2 linked regions of the Canis lupus familiaris genome follow. The protein of the gene in region 1 interacts with the protein of each later gene in a pairwise test. Links are inferred from orthologs where the notes say so. Each region holds a gene or a part of one and is shown in the gene's direction. Other genes may lie near its edges.

Region 1 (3,321 bases):
AATATCTAAAGAGTTCTTAATCCAGTTCTTAGCTGGGATTTGAGAGCCAGTGGACCCCAGAAGGATTCCTGAGCAGTAAGCCCTTCCGGTTTCCCTGCCTGCAGATTGTCTGCTGATGTCCGCTGGCGCTGCTCGTGAACACAGATTCTCGCTCTGTGTCTGTGGCCAGAGTTAGCACCGCCTTCTTCGGCTCTGTTCTTTTCCTTTCTTGAAGGAGTACCTGTATTTGTAATATTTTGTTGTGAAAATCCAAAGTGACACAATAATCAGATAAATCTTAATCAAATTGGAGCTAACAGGGCTCTTTGAAGCCAGCTGGGGAAACACGCACTTGGTTTTCTAGGTGGTCTAGGGGCTGGCCAGCTTCCGGGCACGTGACATGTGCTGCTTCCCACATCCAGAGACATCAGTGTGTGGCCCTGAAGCTGAAGCACATCCACGGATTATTTTACTGAATCTTCTAGTCAGCTCGGGGTGGCAGGGGCATCTTTTCTATGCTTTAGATGCTCAAAAGGCTATGAAGGGGCGCCTGGGTGGCTCAGCCAGTTAAGCATCTGCCTTCGGCTCAGGTCATGATCCCAGGGTCCTGAGATCGAGCCCCACATCAGGCTCCCTGCTCAGCAGGGAGTCTGCTTCTCTCTCTCCCTCTGCTGCACCCCACCCCTGCCCTGGCCCTGTGTGCAAGCAAGTGCTCTCTCAAATAAATAATTAATTTTTTAAAAAGGCAGTTGAGTTGGTAAGAGTTAGAATGCTGGCCACTTGGCTCCGGAGTCTCAGGTCCTTGCAGTACATTTTGGAGATGGAAAGGTTTATAAGCGGAAGGCTGTATTAAACGTGTTACCTGAGCAGGCACATAAGGAGGCAAGGTTGGAGCACCAGGGCAGAGGGTCACTCGTTCCTCTACTCTTTGTGTCTTGCAGCGATCCCAGTCTCCAGCTGCTTCGGACTGCTCGTCGTCGTCCTCCACAGCCAGCCTGCCCTCCTCCTCCAGCAGGAGCAGCCTGGGCAGTCACCAGCTCCCCCGGGGCTACATCCCCATCCCCGTGATACACGAGCAGAATGTCGCCCGGCCAGCAGCCCAGCCTTCCTTCCACCAAGCCCAGAAGACCCACTACCCGGCTCAACAGGGTGAATACCAGACCTACCAGCCGATGTACCACAGGGCCCCGGGGGACGACTGGGAGCCCCGGCCCATGCCGGCAGCGTCCCCATTCCGCTCACCTGTCCGGAGTGCATCCAGCCGGGAGGCCTCTCCGGCCAGAAGCAGCACACCAGTGCACTCCCCTTCACCCCACCGTGTGCACACTGTGGTCGACAAGCCTCAGGTACGCAGTTGGTGTTCACAGGCCGACCCACTCCATCAGCTTCTCTGCCGGGGCTGAGGAGCTCCGTGCGGGTGCCCTGGTTCCTCCGTGGGCCTTCACTAGCTCCCATGCGTGTTACTGGGGGAAAGCGAGATTCTGGAATTGGCTGGTTATCAGCAGAAACGCAGGACTGGTACTGGGAACGCTCAGTACTTTCTGCAGCTTTTGCTCATTTGTCATTGCAGCTGCCTTTAGACAGAACCTCCCTCACCTCAGCGAGAGACAGCTGGGCAGCATGTGGGGTGTCACACACATGGGGCCCGGCTATCTTAGCGCCCACCACACTTTGTCAGGGCTCTTCAGACCCCTTGCACACTGCAGCCACAGCCTCATCTCCAACTCTCCTTCCTCACGGATGCCCCTTCTCCACTCCTCAGGCCCTTTCTGTTCTTCGTCTGTGCATTTGCTCTTGCTGAACCAGCTCCCAGAAATGCCAGCACACTCCAGGTTCTCCCCATCCTCCAAGGGACCAGCCAGTCTTGCCTCTTCCATGAAGCTTACTCCTCTTTCTCACAGCATCCCTTCACAGTCCTTTAGGGCTTGGCATGTGTTACGCTGTGCATTCCGAAAGTGTTCAACATCTTACTTGCTGAGCTCGGCTCTGAGCTTGATGACAGGGGCAAGCCTTCTCCCTCTCTCCTTGGTGGTAAAGGACAATGTTGCCAGTAAAGGACCGGCCTGCCAGCTGACCGGGAAACCTTCCGGCGTGGGGAAGTTGCAGGCACAGACCTGTTCATCCTTCAGGGGCAACTCGTAGGGCACATCCTGGAAGAGGAGGAGGTCATGTAGCTTAGCAAAGCCTTGAACAACCCCGGGCCCCCCAACTTGAGCAGCCAAATTGGTTCTCTGTCATAGTTTTTAGAAGGAAAGCCCCTTGTAGGCAAATGCAGGATGTCTTACTATAAATAGTGACAGCACCCTCCTGTGGTTCTTTTTTTAGCTTCTTTATTTGGAAATAATTTCAACCTTACAGAGGAATTACAAGAATCCTACAAAGAAACCCAATACCCCCTTCATCCACATTCACCGTTAACATTCTGCTGTATTTGCTTTGCCATTTCTTGTTTCTATATGTATTATCCATGTGGTTTCTTTGTTGGAGATATAATTATAGATACGGTGCCCCTCTACCCATAAATAATTCAGGAAATATTTTCCTAAGAAGGACCTCATCCATAACCACAGTTCAATTATCAGAATCAGGAAACTTAACGTCCTTACCACATCGTCATCTAATACACAGTCCACTTTCAAATCTCCTTGATAGCGGTTTTCCCTGTTCCAGGATCTAATCTAGGATCATGAGCACTGCATTTAGATGTCCTTTCTCTTCAGTCTCCTTCATTCTGGAACAGTTCTTCGGACTTCCGTTGCTTTTGTGACCTTGACTTTTTCAAAGAGTATACAAGCCGTGGAGCCCTTAAGAGTTTCCAAAGTCATTTTTCTTACTCGGAGATTGTTTTAAAACCCAGAGAGGGATGTGTGCCTGGTTGCCAAGTGGTTGAGGGCATCCGCGCTGGCAAGATACCTGGTAGAGAAGGGGTTGCTGGCGCTCAGATGGCTAAGTAGCCACTAGATCCCAACTTGGGCTCAGGGAATCTCGGGAAAGCAGTGCCCATTCGCAGAGCTAGAAATGCTTCTCCCTGTGTCTTTCCTATATATTTCCCATAATCGGTGAAACTGTTTAATCCTATTTCTTCCTTAATCTTGTTTGTAGTGCCCTCCCTTTTAGTGCTTGTTCAGAGATTTCTTTTTGAAGGTTTGCAAAGATTGGACCTAACTGAATATTATAGTGGTAGAAATTTAGTATTTTAAATTGAGAGTACTTCAGAAATCATGTAGTCTATTACTTCCCAGTTGGTGAAATTAGGATGTGTGAGATTTAAGAAGTTTGGCTAAAACACTAATTAGAAAAGCTATACTCATCCCTCTGTGTATTGCAACATTATTCACAATA
Region 2 (3,648 bases), on another chromosome or scaffold:
TCTGCCCCGCCCCCCGCCCCCCACTATATTTGCAGATACAGTGACATAGTTTGTGGTTGACTTGGAACACCTTTGTCTTTTCCGGCACCTAAGATGCTTTTAGTAAAAAAAAAAAAAAAACCCACAGTGGTTAAAGAGGAGAGGACGACACTCGATGTGAAAGACGGGGCCGTCGTTGGTTGGTAGTTTCAAAGCGCCAGGAGAGAAGCGTCTGCTCTGATTGGGGCGATGTGTGCCCTTGGGACCTTCTAGGTTTTGATGATTTTTGGTTGTAACTGTTTACCTTTTAGCTTTATTTAGGGAATCCTTCGTTACAGTGATAATGCTTGGGTCTAGGAGGGATGCTAACTCCCTTTCTGGTTTTTGGACAAGGCTGCACGCGAGCCATTTCTTCCTATTTTCCATTTGGTAGAAATTGGGAAGATTGGTATGGAAAAGAGAGAGAGAGAGAGAGGTGTCACTTGTATTTCTGATCTGGTGTCTTCTGCTTTTGCTTTAGGTAAAATGTCTGTTCCAGGATCCTACCAGGCGGCCGCTGGGCCTTCCTCGGTGCCAACTGCGCCGCCATCCTATGAAGAGACGGTGGCCGTCAATAGTTACTTCCCTATGCCTCCTGCCCCTGCGCCAGGGCCGACCACGGGGCTGGTGACGGGCCCGGATGGCAAGGGCATGAATCCGCCAGCCTACTACACCCAGCCAGTGCCCGTCCCCAACGCCAATGCAAGTACGTGCCACCTCCCGCGCCCCCTTACCTGTCTTCTTCGCCCTCCACCCTGGCCTTGGGGCCCCTGCGAGAATCAGGGGAGCCACAGAGGTGACTCTGCCTAAAGTCCAAGTGAAGTGCCGGTCAGTCTGGCCTGACCCCTCGCCCTGGAATGTCACTTCTAGTCTTCTGGGTTCCACCTCTGGGGTGGGGGTGGGGGGCTCATGTCTTCTCCCCAATAAAGCACAGTTTATGAGCTTTCCCACATCAGCCACAAACCGATCTTTTGGTGCTAACTGCCCACCAGTCATCCCAGAGGAATTGGGGAATGGGAGTTTGCGTTCAAAGGCCCCTACCCTTCCTGCTGACACTCCCTGGGACAGACCCTGCCCTGAGGCCAGGGCTGGAGTGGGAGAAGGAGCAGAAACAACTGGGAGTTAGAAATGGTTGAGCAGGTGCTGTCCCAGCCTGCTTCCCTGCCTTCTAGCTACTTCTTCATGGCCTTATCCCTGGGGACTTCCCGCTGCCCAGGTGCGCCTAGGTGCGCCCAGGTGCATAGGTGATTCAGTATCACAAGCAGCCGAGGAGGGAATAGCCAGCTCAGAGACTAGGCCAGTGGGTCAGACTGCCTGGATTCACCTAACTGCCTGGTGACTCAGTTTCCCCTCCTGTAAAATAGGGCTCATCAGGTGACTCCTTCAGTGGGTTGTTCCGATGAAATGAAGTTCTCTGAGGAGTCATTTGATAAAAGTGAGCTCTTGTCCCCGGGCTCGAGTAACTTTGACGCTATCACACAGAAGAGAACAAAGTGACTTCAGACTCATCATGCTCTGATCAAAAATTCATTCTGTACCAAAAAAAAAAAAAAGACTTTTACACAGTTTACATGTAGGTGTTATAGTATGCTCAAATACTGCTTTTTCTGGAAGGAAAGACTTCCTAGGTCTTTCTAGGACAATTAAGTTCTGAGAGCTAGTACAATAATTAATTTCCCCTAATACACAGATTATAGAAACGGCATTTCAGCACCGCAGAGAGGAACAGAAGGGAGTCACTCTGACAGAAATATGAGCTTAAGCAACTTTGCCAAAACGCAAAAACATTCTGAATGCTTAAGGACTTCATGATTTATATCACTCTGGGCTCTCCTCTGGTAACCGGGAACGCCTGTACATGTTTTTCACATAGTTTGCTCTTTTTAGCACTATTTTATATCTTTGTTTCATGTATCAGCTCGATTCCCGGACTCGTTGCAAAGCCTGGGCCAGTGTTCCCCGGCTTGGTACCAACTCCAGCCCTGTCACGGGGGGGTTGGACCTATTAAGGAGTCCGGAGCCACGTGTGAAAGGAGGGGAGTGTTTCATCGAGGGTTTGATCTGGGTTCGCTGTGACCCAGAGTGTCAGGTTCTTTACTATCCTTCTCTCATGGGACCCTGGCAGCAACCGTGTTACTTCCAGTTGTAAAAAATAAAAGAGTTAAATTGAGATACAATTCCCATTAACTCCATAGGGTTCACTCTTTGAAGGTGTCTGATGCAATGGTGTCAGTGCAAGCATCGGCGCCAATTCCAGAATATTTCCATCACCCCAGAAAGAAACCCCGTCCCCATTAGCCACCCCTCCCCATCCCCCCAGTCCCTGGCAACCACTAATCTATGGATGAAGAAAATTGAGGCTAAAACCCCATCATATCACTGTTTCTGGAATTACTATCTGCAGACCACCTTTATCGAACCACACAGGGAGCTTAAAGAGCCTTCTGGGGACCCTGCCCCAGACCTGCTGACTCAGCCTGTCTCAGCGGTAGGGGCTGGGGGTGGGTATAGGGCCCAGGAACCTGCATTGGCAACATTGGCAGTAAGTTCCCCACCCGATTCTGTGGTCAGTGAGTTTGAAAGCCTGGTCGTGCTGAGCCAGACCCCCGCTCCAGGAACTTCTCCCCATCTCACGTGGCAAGGGGGTCAGGGGCATGCAAGCCCCCCAAATGATAATGCTGGAAATCTGCCACTGTTTTGGTAAAGCACACATAAGGTAAATTTGTCACCTAAATTTAGCGTCTCTTGGTGTACAGTTGAATGGCATTAAACACATTCAAGTGGTCTTGAAACTGTCACCACCATCTCTTTCTAGAACTTTTAAAGATATTTTAAAAATTTATTTATTTATTTATTTAAAGATTTTGTTTATTCATGGGAGACAGAGACAGAGAGAGACAGAGACAGAGACAGAGACACAGGCCGAGGGAGAAGCAGGCTCCATGCAGGGAGCCCGATGTGGGACTCGATCCCAGGACCCCAGGATCATGTCCTGGGCCGAAGGCAGGCACTAAACCGCTGAGCCATCCAGGGATCCCCCTATTTTTACAATTTATTCATCAGAGAGAGAGGGAGAGAGAAAGGGAGCGCAAGCAGGGGGAGGGGCAGAGGCAGAGGGAGAAGCAGGCTCCCTGCTGTGCAGGGGGCCTGATGAGGGACTCGATCCCAGGATGCTGAGATCATGACCATGACCATGACCAAACCAAGGCAGGTGCTTCAAGGACTGAACCACCCAGCTCCCCCCCCCCCCCCCCACCAGAATGTTTAAATCTTGTAAAATTGAACCTCCAGACCCAGTAAACAGCAGCTCCCCGTTGCCCCCCCCACCCCTTCCTGGCACCCACCATCTCCTCTGTGAATTGGATGACTTGAGGTGCCTCCCATACGTGAAATCGTGCAGGCCTTGTCCTATGCCTGGCTCGTGGCACTCAGCACAACATCCTGACGGCTCATCCGTGTTGGAGCGCGGGTCAGGGTGTCCTTTTAAGGCTGAGCGAGCCTCCGCCGCGTGGGTAGATCCCATTGTGCTTAGCCATTTGCTCACCTGTCCGCGGGCACCTGGGTGACGTCCACCCTTTGGCTCCTGCAAGTGGTGGACACACCAGCCCCCGTGGGGACCCAGCCCCCGCC

What was found.
Region 2: the proteins of BAG3 (region 1) and LITAF interact in binary tests that used the Homo sapiens proteins (3 or more experiments, as listed by UniProt). The two-hybrid records come from large-scale screens. The link is inferred for Canis lupus familiaris from reciprocal best matches to the Homo sapiens genes BAG3 and LITAF.

What each region holds. Positions count from the first base shown.
Region 1 is NC_049249.1:30,109,078-30,112,398, forward strand, and holds part of BAG3 (BAG family molecular chaperone regulator 3), read left to right. Parts: exon of another isoform or gene 1-220; intron 221-331; exon of another isoform or gene 332-425; intron 426-841; exon of another isoform or gene 842-920; coding exon 921-1,325; exon of another isoform or gene 1,326-1,442; intron 1,443-1,575; exon of another isoform or gene 1,576-2,129; intron 2,130-2,585; exon of another isoform or gene 2,586-2,892; intron 2,893-3,321. UniProt on the Homo sapiens protein: Co-chaperone and adapter protein that connects different classes of molecular chaperones including heat shock proteins 70 (HSP70s), e.g. HSPA1A/HSP70 or HSPA8/HSC70, and small heat shock proteins (sHSPs), e.g. HSPB8.
Region 2 is NC_049227.1:31,540,320-31,543,967, forward strand, and holds part of LITAF (lipopolysaccharide-induced tumor necrosis factor-alpha factor), read left to right. Parts: intron 1-499; 5' UTR 500-504; coding exon 505-724; intron 725-3,648.